Rattus norvegicus: one gene and its partner. The protein of the gene in region 1 interacts with the protein of each later gene in a biochemical or structural test. Links are inferred from orthologs where the notes say so. Each region holds a gene or a part of one and is shown in the gene's direction. Other genes may lie near its edges.

Region 1 (8,006 bases):
TTCCCACTCTGATGCAGTTGTCATGGTAGGAAGTCTGGCCTAGTTTTAATTCATAAGACGCTGCAGACAGATGATACCAGCATGCGGAATGTGGCACTGTCCTCGAGAGCTGAGGAAGGTCCCATAGTTGAGATCAGAGGACTTTCAGCTCTGCTGTGAGAAGTAGGCGTATTGCCCCACAGAGGTTGTTTGCTTGGACTTATGATTTAACTTGGAAGATGTGGTTAATTGTCCTTGGCTCCTTGACAGCACTGTGTTTCCTGTTTCAGAGCTTTGTGAGAACCTGCCCACTGAAGGCAGAGAGACCGTGATTATGAACCAAATCCTGCCCTATATAAAGGTGAATGTGACTTCATTTTATTTTGTTTACCCTACCTATGAAGCTCTTAGCATTTAAAGAAGAAAGAGGCATAAATGAATCAAATGCATAATGTGTGAAAATATTTATAGTTGATTTGTGCATGTTATACTTGTAAAGCTTGTGGACGCATAGTCTGTTACTCCAGACGGCTGGGTCGGCCGCTCTGCTGACCAGTGCTGCTGTGGACTGCTTGGGAGGTGGTGTGCAGGCTTTCGTTGTCTTTAATTTTTATTCTGTTTTAGGAATTAGTGTCTGATACCAACCAACATGTCAAGTCAGCCCTAGCTTCTGTAATTATGGGATTATCTACAGTTTTGGGCAAAGAGAATACCATTGAACATCTTCTGCCTCTATTTTTAGCTCAATTAAAGGATGAGGTGAGTCTGGCTATGAATCCCTTTGCTTTGGTGTAATTGATTTGATAGGATCTTGTTTCTTCTCCTTTTCTTTTTTTCTTTTGGGTTTTTTGAGACAGGGTTTCTTTGGGTAGCTCTGGCTGTCCTGGAACTCGCCACTCTGTAGACCAGGCTGGCCTTGAGCTTAGAGACCTGCCCGCCTCTCTGCCTCCCAAGTGCTGGGATTAAAGGGACTGGAAAGCTTTGGTTTGGTGATTTTGCTAAGATAGGACCCAAAGTGTGAAGATGGGGCGGGGGAATCATAGTTTAGATGTTTGACAATCCTTCTCTTTGGGTATAGGGTTACAGGTTTCCCCAAAACTGGGCACAAGGAGTAATTAAAAACAAACCCAATTGTGTGTGGTGGAAAATGCCTTTAATCCCAGCACTCTGGAGACAGAGGCAGGTGGATCTCTTAAGTTCAAGGCCAGCCTGGTCATAGACCAAGTTCTAGGAGAGCCAGGGTTACTTAGAGAAATGCTGCCTCTAAAACCAAACCAACCAAGCAACCAACCAAGAGCGGCTGGAGAGGGAGCTGCATGGTGAGCTGCATGAGCTCTTCCAGAGGACGTTGGTTTGCTTCCCAGCATGAGCTAACAACTGTCAGTGAATCTGGTTCCGTGGGGTCTGAGCCTCTTCTGGCCATTGCAGGTGCCAGGTCCACAGAGCATAAACATGTTCATGTAAGTCATGAAATACGTCAGTCTTAAACTAGCCTGAACTACCTGCTAAATGTTTTATGTTATATCACTGGTTCCTTATAGTTAAAGTTCATATATCTTTGCTTAAACAGTATCTTTTTACTTATGTTTAAAATGTAGCTTCAGATATTAACATTTAGTGGCCTGAGGTGTGGCTCAGCAGTTAAGAGGCCTGCTACTTGTAGAGGACCAGAGCTCCAATTCTGGTGTCCATATTGAATGGCCCATAAGTGCAACTCCAGTTCCAGAGGATCCAACTCCCTCGCTGGCCTTCATGGGCACCCACACATTTGGGCACACATGTACACTTTACACAGACAGTACATACATACAGATGAACAAATGATGTGAAAGTTAGTGTCAGGCATGATCGGAGTGCTTTGGATATGCCATTCACACCCAGCGGGCTTGAGGCTGACTCCTCATGCAGAGGAAGTGAAGCACAGGGATAGACATCTGAGGTCTCCCCGCGCAGGGGCAGACCTAAGACTTGAGTACATAGAACTGAACTCCAGGGCCTGGGCTTTTTACCATCGCATAGACTTTATGCTTAATTATTAATTAAAAGTTTTTTTTTTCTATTCTTTTTTTGGAGCTGGGGACCGAACTTAGGGCCTTGTGCTTGCTAGCAAGCGCTCTACCACTGAGCCAAATCCCCAACCCCTAATTAAAAGTTTAAACTTTATTATTGTGTGAGTGAGTGTGCACTCGTGTATACATACAGAGCTCAGAGGCTATCTCTGTGGAGTCTGTTCTCTCAATCCTCCTTTATACGAGTTCTGGGGATTGAATCCAGATTGCCAGTTTGTGAGGCAAGCCCCTGTTCCTGCTGAGCCTTCTCACCTGCCAATTTGTTAATTGATTTTTAAATTACAAAATCATGACTTTTTACTGATACTGTGGTTACGATTAGTGACACTGTGTTTTGGATTACCTGTGTACTTAGCACTAAGGATTTCTCTCTGCCGGTATTCCTCTGGTCAGTTCTGGCCCTCAAGTCCATGGCTCTGTGCAGGCTGGACAAATGCCTTTCTCACAGCCTCACTGCAGCTTACCCCACCTTTTAAAACCTGAGCCGAGACTTAATTTCTGTTTTCTGTTTTGGTTTGTTTGTTTTTGTTTTTTTTTCAAGACAGGGTCTGTCTGTGCAGCCCTGGCTGTTCTGGAGCTCATTCTGTAGACCAGGGTGACCCCCACCTTAAGAGATCTGCCCTCCTGTGCCTCCCAAGTGCTGGGGTACAAGATGTGGGCCACCCCCCAGCTTAGTACTTTTCATTTGAAGTTCTGTTTAGCACTTTTTATTTTCTCATGCTAGGAGAGTACTGGGCAAAGCAGCTAATTTTCACATGGAGTCTCTGGGGCTTGTGTGTTTATTGTAGTGTCCAGAAGTTCGTTTAAATATCATCTCCAATTTGGATTGTGTGAATGAAGTGATTGGAATCCGTCAGCTCTCTCAGTCTCTCCTCCCTGCCATTGTGGAACTGGCTGAGGACGCCAAGTGGAGGGTCCGCTTGGCGATCATTGAGTACATGCCGCTGCTGGCTGGCCAGCTGGTGAGTACCGTGCCGGGGAGTCCAATTGTGGACTTACGGCGAGTGGGGGCTCAGGTAGTCAGGCTGCTGTGTCTCCATCAGATGCACTGGAGTAAATTCTTGTGGCCTGCAGGATGCTTTTGTGTTTGCTTGCTTTTTCAAGACAAGGTTTCTCTGTGTGGCTTGGTCATCCTGGCTCTCCCTGTAGACCAGGTCTGCCTACTCTGCCTGCTGGGATTAGAGGTGTGTGCCACCATCTCAGAGGATGGTTTTTATTTTCAGTGGTGCATTATGGCCTAACAGGAGGGTGGTCCAGAAACACATTCACCTTACTGCCTCCTCATGATAAAGGTGTAGAATATGTAATTTCTTTATTAGTTTTATTCTAATAGATGTGAGTAGTTAACATTTCAAAGCTGACTCTACTGCACACCTTTCCCTTTTTTCTCAGTAGGGGAAGACGAGGGCAAGCTTGTTAGCCTCACCCCTACCCATGGTAGCTCTTAGACAGTTAACTGTGGGGTGGTTTCTGTGGCTTCATGGTGCTAGTTATTAATTAGACACTTGGCATTTCCTACGAGTTGGATGAAGGGAGACCTGAGTAGTTTCAGAATGCTCATGGATCAGTTTACTGCTGACATTTCTGTACTTTGCCCCCCAACCCCAGTGCCCTGCCCTGCCCAAAGGTTCATTTCCACTCCTTTCGGATCACAGCACATGGGCGGGCTCGTATTTTCTTGACCACTGCACCATTACTGATTTGGGTGGTTTATGAGCATGCGTCTTGTAGATAGCCATGTTTTATCAAATCTGAAATTCTCTGTTCCTCAAAATGAAGGGCAAAGATCCTAACTTATCCATGTGTCAAGTGATGTCATCTTATCATGTTTCTTCACCATCCATTCCAAATGGGGGTCATTTTCTGTTCCTCTGTCATCTTCTGTGTCACTGTCTAGAGTGGAAAGCAGCAGTGGCTAATGATGGGCTTGCTAGGTGGAACGAAGCCCCTGTGTGGAAGGAGGTGGAGGAGGTGGATTGTGTTTACCATTTCTTTGAACCTTACCCCACCAGACCTGGAAAGTCTCCAGGGCTGCCAGCAGTATGCAGAAGAGTGTGGAAAGAAGACAGATGTCGTCTTGGCTGGTTAACACCTTCTGGCCGGGGCAACATCCCTCAGTCATGGACACTGGCTGGGGTGGCATCTGTCAGTCATGGTCACTGTGTCTTTCTCTCTAGAACTGGAGTTACAGTTGTGAACTGCCATGTAGGTGCTTGGAACCAAAACCAGGCTTTTTGTAAGAGCTCAAATGTTCTTAATGGCTGGGCCATCTCTTGCCTCCATATTAGTATTCTTAATTTTTCTTTTTGTGTAAACTTTTAGTCAATAACATTTTCTCATGACTCTCCAGCCCAGCTCATAGGCCTGATGAGTAAATACAGAGTTAAACCACAGACTGTCTAAAGGAGATCACAGGGAAATCCTCAATCTGGAATAAAAGTAGGAGTCTGAGAGCTGATGCTGTGGGCGAAGTGCCTGCCAGATTTGGTCATGGCCTGGTGAAGCCGTCCTGTGTAAACACAGAACCCTTGTTGTTGGTCTTTCTTTACATACATCGTCACTGGTCAGGAATGTCTCAGACGTGAACCAGAAAGGAAGGCACCAGTTAAGTGTGCATCCTGGGCTTACCTGTGTGGTGTGTATGTCCTATGGCAAGAGGTCTTCGTTTGTTCCCAGCCTGTGTGGGGACCACAGGCTGAGAGTCAGGCGCCAGCTATCACTTCTACCTTTGTCCTGCACACTGGTGCCTGTTTTTTCTCTCTACTGCCTTCTCTCATGCTCTAGAAACACTGTCTTCTGTTGGTGATCTCTTGGTGTCACTTGCTGCGTGCTCAAGGACTTGCTAACTAAAAAGGAGAGATGAGAATTACCAAGCCCCTCAGCAGCTATTTTTCTGGGTAATTCACTTTCCCATGGTGTCTAGATTTGCTCTGCAGACTTCTTCCTGTGCTGTGCCTGTTCTGCTCAGCCCTGTGCGTGTGCATGTGTAGTTCAGTTCTGCCTTCCATAAGCTTGGCTGGCATCACTCTCGCCTGGTTTTGCCTTCTCTGATAGTATCATAGTTTGTAATTCTATGCTACTGTTTTTATGGCTCTTTTGTGGTTCAGCTTATGTGCAAGTGTGCCCTTAGCTTTTAGGTCAATATTGTACAGTGTAAATAGAACATCTTGTCCTAACTCTGGAAATGTTTACTAATGGAATCTTCTATATCCATAGGGTGTGGAGTTTTTTGATGAAAAGCTGAATTCTTTGTGTATGGCCTGGCTTGTGGATCATGGTGAGTAGACAAGTTAAAAACAGATATTATGAAAAAAAACAAACAAACAGATATTATGGGAAGTCCAGGCTTCTGCATGTTTGTGATGTGCACACATGGCTGTTTGCAGAGGAATCCTGTGGGACACACACTTTGCCTTGACAATGTAATGCTGAAGAAAGGTTGGTGAAGTTCCACTGGCTTTCCCCGACTCCATAAACATTTACTTAATCTGGGACAGGGTCTCACTGTGCAGCTCTGGCTGGTCTTCTGCCTGTCTCCTGAGTGTTGGGAGTAAAGACAGGTTCAACCTGGCTACAGATCTGACATTTGTACTTCTGTTATTTTCTGTTTTCAATGTGTTTTCTGGGCTGAGTAGCCCTGCCCTCTCTACCTCTTGAGACGGACATTTCCTCCAGAGCCAGGGCTTGCAGCTGACCTGTTGCTGTCGGCGTCCTGGGTAACTGGAGACCAGGCTGACAGATTGGAAAGGCCTGGGTGGAAAGGGTTGGCTACTCCAGCTTTCTCAGATGAAGTACTCATGTGCAGTAGGAGTTGGGGACATGTGCGTACCCTGAGGCAGAGCCAGGGTTTCGGTGTTGTGAAAGGAAAGCTTATTGTCTCTTCTTTGCCAGCTGCTGCTGTGCGGAGAGTGTGAGCTCAGGACAGTTCCAATTGGTCAAGAATGCTGGTGATGCCTCAGGGCAGTGTGTGCATAGATCTCTGTCTCCCTGGTGGCTGAAGGCAGGTGGGGCCCTCTGCACCGGGTCCTAGCCTTAACCGCTTCAGTCCCAGGGAGTGCCTTCAGTTCCCATGTGATACGTCCCATGAGCTTTGGGTCCGTGTTTGGTGTGTGTCATAAGCATCCTGTTGTGGTCTCAGTGTGCTGCGTATGCTTTATGTACTGCTTGCTTATAGTTGGGTACTTGTGACTGGGTAGTTGGGAAAGAATAAGAATATCCTTCTGCTTACACTTGCAGGTGACTTTGTTAAAAGCACATTTGCATCATGTGTACGAGTGTAAAAGGAAGGTTGTGAAGCCATGTATGACAATGTGTTAGGGCGCATGTATGGATACATCTGTGCTTTTAAATGACAGTGTAAAGACCTCTTTATTCCTTGTTTTCTCAAAAGTTACATCTTTAGTGATCATTTATTAAAAAAAAAGAAAAAAAACAAACAAAAGAAACGTGGTAACAAATAGGAAAGCATCTTTAATTTTTCTATTTTAAATCATGTGTAAGAATGTGTGTCTGTATATGGGCTTGCACTTGTGCTTGAGGGGCCTCTCGGAGGCTGAAGAGGGCATCGGATCCTGGTCAGGAGCTGAAATTGTTGTGAGCCCTCTGGCTTAGGTACTGGGAACTGGAATCCAGTTTTCTATGAGAACAGTATATATTCTTTACCACGGAGGCATCTTCCAGTCCAAGGAATTTTGTTTTTATTTAAGAAAGTTTTCTTTGGGTACGTGTTCTTGTCAGTGGCATTCCCAGAGACCTTTCTATTATTATTACTTCCTTTGAATGCAGTTAAGGAATAGACGGGCCTTTTTGTCCCTCACATTTTGAAGGACCTTTAGGTTCCAGTATTTCACAAGTTGAGAAATGGCACCTGTTCTGTGTAGGTGATGGCTATAGGGGACCCAAGTGTCCTGCCTCCTTCGTTCCTTCCAACTTGGGAGTTAGTAGGGTGGAGTTTATGTAATACAGCAGCAACACACAAACTGGGGACTGCAGGGTTCCCTGATGCAGTGGGTGGGTGGCAGCTGGGAACATCCCCTTCACCTGGGCTTCCTGAAGCTTTTGCGATTTAGGTTAGATTTCTGTAATTGGAAGAAGAATGCTGTTTTTCATGTAAGTGGTGCACAGTGAGCAGTGAGCAGGTTTTTTGGGACACATCCCCCTCACCCCTCCCTGGCATGAAACTGCTGTAAGATCAGTGTGAACAGTCTGGAGAGGCTGAGGGGGTGGGCATGAAGGCTGTGTTTCTATCATTGGGCAGAGTGAGAAGGAGGCAGGGCTCAGTGAGGGAAATTTGAAGTTCCAGATTTGTTTTCTAAGTGGTGGGTATCTCACTTATTAATTTATCTTTTATAGGACAAAGATAAGTATTCAGTCAACGTTAGTGAGAATTGATAGATACGTAAAGAAACCTTTCAGATCAGCCTAACCTTAAAGGGAAAGACAGACACACAGACAAAACAAGGAGTAAAAACTTGGGAAAGGCTTGCATTCCTCTGAAAACAGAAGGGAGAGGTGCCAGGAACACAGTAGGCATCTGGCCAAGTAGAGTTCAGTGCAGTTGAGGTCTTGGTCAAGGCTCAGTCTGTGGTTACTTTGGCAGTGGAACCCTGCCACATGGCATTGTAGAAAGAATAATCATTAAAACCGGTAGCTTGGAGCAAAACACAGGTGCTGCCCATTAGTTCCCCTTTACTCTGTGTGTGTGTGTGTGTGTGTGTGTGTGTGTGTGTGTGTGTGTGTGTGTGTGTGTGTGTGTATGCATACATGCATGTGAGTGGTCTGTCTTCCTATATGTCTACAGGACAGAAGAGGGCATCAGATCTCATTACAGATGGTTGTGAGCCACCATGTGGTTGCTGGGAATTGAACCCAGGACCTCTGGAAGAGCAGTCAGTGAGCCATCTCTCCAGCTCCATTAGCTGCCCTTTAAAGGAAGAATGGAGGAGAGGTCTGGAGCAA
Region 2 (8,006 bases), on another chromosome or scaffold:
TAATCTAGATAATAATCTTTCTGAATTGAAGCCTTCTGGCCTTGCAGGTTTCAGTTTTGCAGTAGGTGGGCCTGCCTCCACAATGCGAGTAGGTTTTCATTCTTGTTTTGAGATTACTTCTTTGTTTTGTGTATTTGCTGTTTAAATTACGTTTGGATGGGGAGGTTCTTCTCTGTTGTCTGTGTCTGCAGTGTCTCCTGAATCGGGTATTATCTTTCTCTTCCTAACTGGCCATGTGACTATCTACAATTAAATTTATTAAAGAAGAGAGAAGCTGTAGTCATGGTGGTGAAATAAAGAACAAATACATACAATAGCTAGGTTTGCAGTAATGCTACTGTAATACCCAAGGCTTCCACATGAGATTCCAGTCACTACACCCTCCATTCTAATGGGATGCAATCTTCGAAATGCTGACGTGTAAGGTGTTAGAATGGGTGAGCCTTGGACTTTGGTAGTGTAGTTCATGAAAACAACCAGTAGACCCCTTCTAAAAGCTGGAAAGTGAGTGAATGAACAAAGGAGTAAGTTAACTCCATCCATTGTGGTGCACACCTGTATTCCAGCACTGGGCAGAGTGGTGTGGGAGAATCACAGGTTTGAGGCAATCTGGAGTTAATGAGTTGAGTGAGTGAATTTCCTTTTGATTATAGTATTTTAGGTGTTCGGTGTATGGTCAGTGGTTAACCTGTGGCAGGTAGAAAACAGCTTTTTTGACACGATTGTCCTTGAATTACGTTGTGCTCACCTTTATATCTGTAATGTGTTTTTGAGATAGGTGCTGGCCTTCCAGTGGATCTACACAAGACCACCTTGGTCAGAATCCAAGCCTTCCTCTTCTCATGTGTGGTTTTTGTGTCTCCTTGTCCCTGTGCAGTATAGCTCTGCCTCACGTACTCGGCTCTGAGGCTTGTTAGGACAGAGCCTTCTGTGTGGGGCTCTCTTCTGTTGTTACTTTATTGGAAATGGGTGGTTTGGGTTTTGTACTGTTTTTGGTGAATAGAAGTAGCTTCTCTTTGGAAGCTGTTTCTGTGTTGCTAGATGTGCATTTTGCTAAATCCTTTCTGTTCCAAGTGCTTTTCCTCAAGCAGAAATTTGACTGAAAGCATGCTATAGTTCCGATACTAATACAGGTGTTAAGGATAAACTATTTGTAAATTTGTTAAGGAAAATTTCACACATAGAGCACATGGTGAAGAAAATAGATTCTTGTGGTCATCAAAAACAAAGTAAGAAAATCGGGATGTTAAAGCGCCATGCAAAAAACTGGAGCACGGTACATGTTAGAATGTGTCATAATTCTCTGTTAGGTAGGAGTGCTGTTTTCGTTTTTTGTTTTAAGTGAAACCCAGAAAGCCACCCTCTGACGTTGATGTGTGTTCAAGTAGATGATCTTTTTCTTCACACTTTTCACTGTCATGGGTCCATTAGAGTACAGAACTGCCATGATTGCTTAACCTAAGCACAGGTTCTTCTGTTGGAGGAAAAGGCCAGCTGCAAGCTCCCTTTTGTAGTCTCAGAAGGTTTTTTGTTTTAAGTGCTAGGCCATCTGTTCTATTACTTTGTCTTAGGGGTGAGTTTCTTCTTCACTTCTCTTCTGTAGTTTGGTGGTGTGGCTTCTTTTACCCTTAAGATAAAATTTTCTTTGGTAAAAGGTGTTTCATGTAGTCTATAGCTGCTGGACTCCTTTTTGTTGTTGTTGCTTGTTTGCTTGTTTTAGGTTTTTGTAATAGATTGAAATAGATCAAGTCTGAACCTTGTGTGAGGTTCTTGAGGAATCTTTATGATGGTGTTCTGATTCTGTTTCTGAAAAATTTTTTCATGGTTTTCATGGGTTTATGGTTTTCATGAAATAATTCCATGTGTAGCTTCTTATTTTGTACACTGGGTACTTGAAGTGTATACTTTTTCAAGTTTTTTTTTTTTTTTTTTTCCCCCGGAGCTGGGGACTGAACCCAGGGCCTTGCGCTTGCTAGGCAAGCGCTCTACCACTGAGCTAAATCCCCAACCCGTGTATACTTTTGACATGAGGTTCTGTTCTCTTTAAGCCTTAGATATTCATGGTACTATATACCATCGTTTAAATATATTTAAAGAAAATTAAAACAATATTCACAATAATAACTCAATTGTAGTTTTATTTATTTCATATAAGGCTGTTTGGGTAAGTTTAGGTGAAAGATTGACAGCATGTGGTATTTTAGTATACATGAAAAAACAAATACGTTATGGAATTTGGTATATGAGTGTGGCACACCAACACACCCCAAGGTTGGATGTGTTCTTGGTATATTCTGAAGACTTCACAGTTTTGACCAGCCCATTCACTAATTATTGATACGTGCCAGAATAAGTGATTGAAAAGTTATGACTACACTGTTAGAAGACACAAACCAAAGTATGTGTTTCCGAGATAATTGAACAGGTTTCTTCTGATGTGAATGGGAAGATGGCTATTTTGGTAGCTATAAATACTTCACTTGATAACTTGGTTTTTATTAAAGTGATTGCTTATCCATACAGTTGTAATATCATTTATTTTTCTGAAGATTCTAGTAAATTTTTTTAATAATATTCTTACAAAAGTGTTTCTAATTGTGTGATAGGTCACAAGTAATGTTTATATGAATCCCTTTAATTGAACAAATATATACCAGCAGACTGGCACGAAGTGAACTAAGCATTGGTGTGTGAGGTTCCTGTAATCAGAACTCAGGAGAGTAAGCCATGGAGCAGAGGTTCAGGCAGGCGTTGCCAGGGTGCTGTTGCATACTTAATTGGCAGCAAAGTTGTCCAAAGGGGTGACATGGGTTGTTGGATTTATGAGAGCACCTTTTAAAGAGCTTTTCAGTAGGGAATATAGAAAGGAACGGCAAAAAGACCAAGTATCAGATTAGATAAAAGAGCAGACAAAATGTGCTCCAGCTAGCTGTTTCTGATCAGTGGCTTTCTCATTTTACATTTTAAATGGTATCCATTACTATGGGTGTTCAGTTTTCTTCTTTAACGGTATGATTATGCTATTTAATATACAAGTTAATTAAATCAGTCTGTATTTGGTGTACCATCTCCCTATTAAATGAAGCTTACTTAAGTGTTTCCTTCTTGCTCTTCGTAAAGCTTTCTTTCTCCTTGAAGAATTTTAAATACAGAAAACAGTACAATAGGGTGTAAGATAGAGCTGCCTGGTTGGGGTATCTACAATTTTCAGAGTCTGTTGGAGTTGATTATGGTTTGATATATTTCTCAACATAGTCCAAATATTTTTTTTCTGTTGTAGAACAAAATCCAGTCTCATAGCAGAGGAGAATACAATGTTTACAGCACCTTCCAGAGCCATGAGCCAGAATTTGACTACTTGAAAAGCTTAGAAATAGAAGAGAAGATCAACAAAATTAGGTGGTTACCCCAGAAAAATGCTGCCCAGTTTTTATTGTCTACCAATGGTAAGTGTGCATCTTTTGTTTTCAGGCATCCATGGGCATATGGTTCTCCAGAGGATGCAGGCCCTTCCCTTGTGCAGAACGTTAATTTACTACTTTTGCTTCTTTTATTGCTAACTTGCAAATTCAGATTCCTGGGTACTAATTTTTTATTTAGGCCAATTTTATTTCTGCCTCCTTTGGTTGATCCCAAATCCTGAGTTGAATATTCCTTACCAGAAGACATAGGTAGCAGTGTCTTTGTTACAGCACTGTTATGAATGTATATTAACATGGTAACTTGGCAGGTAGACCCAATGCTTAGAAAATGCTTATTTTCTTTCCAAACTTTACAGAAGATGATTTATCTCCAGGATGATTTCTAGGAGAGTATGCTTCTTCCTTGACTTTGACTAGCTCTTCACTTTCTTCTCTATAAGCCACATGGGTGGAAGAAGATTCTCATGTTAGCTGTATTTGTGTAAGGAAAGGTGGGAGAAAGGGTTAGAGCTGGGTGTAATGTTGGTCAGAGTTTGAGGTTTTGCATGACAAATTAAGAGTAGTATAAATTTGTGTGTGTGTGTGTGTGTGTGTGTGAGAGAGAGAGAGACAGACAGATAGACAGAGAGAGAGAGAGAGAGAGAGAGAGAGAGAGAGAGAGAGAGTGAGTTTTGACTTATCAGGACCTTGAGATTGAAGAGATGGGGGTGACACTTTGAGATCTGGGTGTCATGGTCTATTAAAACTTTAGGCTGACACACATTAGCAGAAATCTCACATTTATCTCATCTAACTATTAATAGAAGCAAACCTTAGCACTTACATCTTTCTGTTTGCAGAGTGTGTAGACTCATGACTACTTAGGGTAACACAGTGGGAGATATTTAGAGCCCCTTCGTGCACTCTTGTACCCTGTGGTTTATTGTATTGAATTTATGGGGATGCAGTGCATAAAACATCGCTCTACTCCTGATTCCATGCCTCCTTGGAGACCCATTTTCTCTCAATTAAATTTTTTTACCCTTTTTACCCTCTGCCTTCCTCTTTCTAAATAAATGACAATTTCTTCGTGTTTACGAGGCAAGGGAGGTAGTGAGACAGTCTTGCATCATAGCCCAGGATAGCTTTGAAATGTTGATATCCTACTTTGGCCTCCCAAACATGGGTATGCCCACTGTATCCCACCTCACCTCTTCCTGAAAGAAAGTGATATAACACGGCTGCAATACATTGCATCCTTGATAGAAGAATCAGATGATAGTTTCTAGTCTTGCTTCCATTTTGATTTATGTGGTAAACTGAGGTACATCAAATAGCTCTTCAACACTTTTTTTGCATCAAGTAAGTAATATGATTATACTATGTGTTTATATATTTGTTTTGTTTTACTTTTAGAAACAAATATCCCTGGGAAGTGTGTTGTATATTGTAGTTTGTGGTTTGAAAATATTTGTTTTTATGGTCAAGGGTATTTCTGTCTCTAGAGTTGATTTTTGGTTTTGTTTTGTTTTTGTTTTTGTTTTTTTTTTTGTTTTTTTTTTTTTTTTGAGACAGGGACTCACCAGTAGCCCAGGCCTACCTGGAACTTACAAAACTCTGCTTCCCTCTGTTTCCTGAGTATTGAGATTAAAGGCAACATTATACCCAGTTACATACTTACCTTACCTTCCTTTCCTAGGAGTCTGTGTGTTCTATAGACAGTGGACAGTATCTCTAAGCACAGTAGGTGCCTACATTTGAAAATACTGAATAATGCTACAAATTATTTAAGGGCCTTGACTTAGTCACTATTCTGTTGCTGTGAAGAAACACCAAGACCAAGGCAACTCTTATAAGAGAAAGCATTTAATTGGGACTGGCTTACAGTTTTAGAGGTTTAGTCGTTATCATCATGGAGGGGCAAGGGATATGGAAAGGAATGGGACAGACAGACTGGATCTGGCATGGGCTTTGGAAACCTCAAAGCCCACCGCTGATGACTAGGCTTTCAAATACATGAGACTATGGGGGCTATAATTATTCAAACCACTACAAGCCTGAAAGAACAGATTGCAGTGTTTCGTTGTTATTACTGATAATCTAAATTAGACAGTCATACATTGGTGGGGGATATCTAAATAAGACGTTGGTAACACCTTGGGGGGATATGTGTTTAAAAATAGGGCCCAATATGGTAGTATTTAAAAGGTCAGCATTTTACAGACTTGTGTTTGAGTGTGAAGGGCTAGAGAAGGTAGAGGAAGGGTAAAACTGGAGCCATGCCCAATGGTTTTGATGTACATAAAGCATCTCGGAGATGTCAGCACTCATAGGGTGGCCTCCATGTTTACTGTGAGACATAGCATCAAAGCCCTTATATATTAAATGCAGAGTTAGAAACAAAAGTTGTTTGCCTTTCCCTGAGTCCTGCTGCTCACCGTATTGAGCATGAGCACTAGTAAAGAGGTTGTTCTCAGAGCTTTTGGCAAGATATTTTTAAGTCATAATTAATTAAATGGATTTTCATGTAGCAATTTTATTTCCTGTCTTCCTGCTTCCCAGTGTACTACACTGAGATCATGTAACTATTATAGTATTTCAGTGTTCTGTATTCCATGACTGAAACAAAAACATTTTTAAATTCTAAGTCACAAGCTTTATGATTGAAAAAAAATGTACCTTAAAAAAATTCTTTCAGATTTTGTCAGAGTTGTTTGTTTGCTTTAGAGGGCTTTATTTGTTGGGGGGGGGGCATGGGCCTGTGTGCACACATGCGCTGTTTTGTTTTTCTCTAAGAAAATAGGAACTAATTTAATCCCATCTGAAAGTTTGGTATGTTACGGTCCTATCTGGACTGTTTATAAGGTTGATGAATTTCAATAGACTGAAGATAGAGCTCGGGGTGGGGGGTATTTGTCATTCTCATCTTCAGAAAGGGATTTCTAAGCAATGCTTATGTCTTCCAAAGTTAAGAAAGAGAGTGTAAATGGCTTTTATGTGAGCACCTATTACTCAACCATCTGTCTGTAAGCCTAGTAGTATACTGGAAGCAGAGCCTAGCTGCAGAGGAATCACAAACAAGATCTAGATGAGAGCTTAGGGGTACACTGTAAGATGCTGAAGCCAGGAGTTTACACTTGAATCAAGTGTTGCAAGCAGGCAGTAGAAATGGCTGCTCTAGTGTCTCCCTGTAGATTGTCTTGTATCACTTTTAAAATGGCTTTCAGGCTATTTTAAAACTATGATATTCAATTTTGCTTATATAAGATCATTCAAGGGGCTGGGGATTTAGCTCAGTGGTAGAGCGCTTACCTAGGAAGCGCAAGGCCCTGGGTTCGGTCCCCAGCTCCGAAAAAAAAGAACAAAAAAAAAAAAAGATCATTCAAAATGTCTTGCTTTTGTATAAAAATACCATTTTAGAATTATAACTACATAAAATCATACATGAGTCCATAGTAAATAGTCTTAAACAATACATGGGTAGACTTTTATTTCCAAAGAATAAAGTGAGTAGGTGTGCAAAGTGTGCGGAGGCGAAGCCTGACAATATCAACTACTAACCACCAATTATGCTGACCTAGTCTGTATCCTTGTATGATGAGCTTGGAAGTCACTTCTCCATTGTGTTCTTCTAAATACCCAGTGACATTCTTTGAAGGGCCACACTCCTACTATTCACAGCTGCCCTGATAAAGACAAATTATCCGAGTCTTTGAGAGGCAGATTAAAGATTAAGGAGGCTTCATGGCAAAATGTTGTGGAGTTTGGACCCTGAGACAGAAAATGGGTGTTGGTTAATGGGAAACTTCTTCAAATCTTAGGGACACCTTAGTTTCCGTAGTGTTACACATGGTTTTCACAAGCTTTGCCATTGTTGCGTAAGATGCTAACATTAGACCGGGTAAAGTATATGTGAGAATACATCTATATTTGGAACTAATAAGTCTAAATGCAATTCCAAGGTAGTGTCTGTGTGTGCGTGTGCACAAGTGCATATAGTATGTTATTGTATGCATCCTTGAATTATAGGGGTTTTTGTCTTGAAGGAGTTGAGGATTTGCTTTTAATCACTGTTTTCGGGCCCCTGTTCTGTATTTAGGGAATCCTTGATTCAAGAGGAGAAAAGACAAATTCAAAACAATCATGCTATCAAGGAGCCTGGTCTCCCATTAGATACACTGGGATAGGATCTGAGGAGCTAGGCCTTGCCACTTGAGCTCAGTAATAGGCAGTGCTGCTTATTTTCTACCGTAATATTGATTGCTGGGCACGTTTGTGCACAGACATACGTGTTTATACCCCTGAAACAGTTCGAAGTATTTCTGAGAACTAGAGACCTTATTTAGACTTTATGAATAAGCACATGGCTTTTCTTTTTGTTATTGTTGTTAAGAGTAGCTTGTGCTGAAAGTGGGGCCTCACTCTTTTCATTCTAGCACCTGAATGAGGTATATAAGAATTCTAGAAAGGTTTCGTTGGCTGGACCCTCCCCAGCCCTTGGGAGACGGAGCTAGGGAGATCTCTCTTTGAGTTTGAAGCCCGTGGTCTATGTAGGAAGTTTAGGCCAAGGCTGTTCACTGAAACCTTGTCTCAAAGGGGGTGGGG

What was found.
Region 2: the proteins of Ppp2r1b (region 1) and Ppp2r2a form a complex in vitro, tested with the Homo sapiens proteins (2 studies listed by BioGRID). The link is inferred for Rattus norvegicus from reciprocal best matches to the Homo sapiens genes PPP2R1B and PPP2R2A.

What each region holds. Positions count from the first base shown.
Region 1 is NC_086026.1:60,101,107-60,109,112, forward strand, and holds part of Ppp2r1b (serine/threonine-protein phosphatase 2A 65 kDa regulatory subunit A beta isoform), read left to right. Parts: intron 1-269; coding exon 270-340; intron 341-603; coding exon 604-738; intron 739-2,836; coding exon 2,837-3,010; intron 3,011-4,832; exon of another isoform or gene 4,833-4,945; intron 4,946-5,264; coding exon 5,265-5,325; intron 5,326-8,006. UniProt on the Homo sapiens protein: The PR65 subunit of protein phosphatase 2A serves as a scaffolding molecule to coordinate the assembly of the catalytic subunit and a variable regulatory B subunit.
Region 2 is NC_086033.1:45,389,254-45,397,259, reverse strand, and holds part of Ppp2r2a (serine/threonine-protein phosphatase 2A 55 kDa regulatory subunit B alpha isoform), read left to right. Parts: intron 1-3,280; coding exon 3,281-3,446; intron 3,447-8,006. UniProt on the Homo sapiens protein: Substrate-recognition subunit of protein phosphatase 2A (PP2A) that plays a key role in cell cycle by controlling mitosis entry and exit. Involved in chromosome clustering during late mitosis by mediating dephosphorylation of MKI67.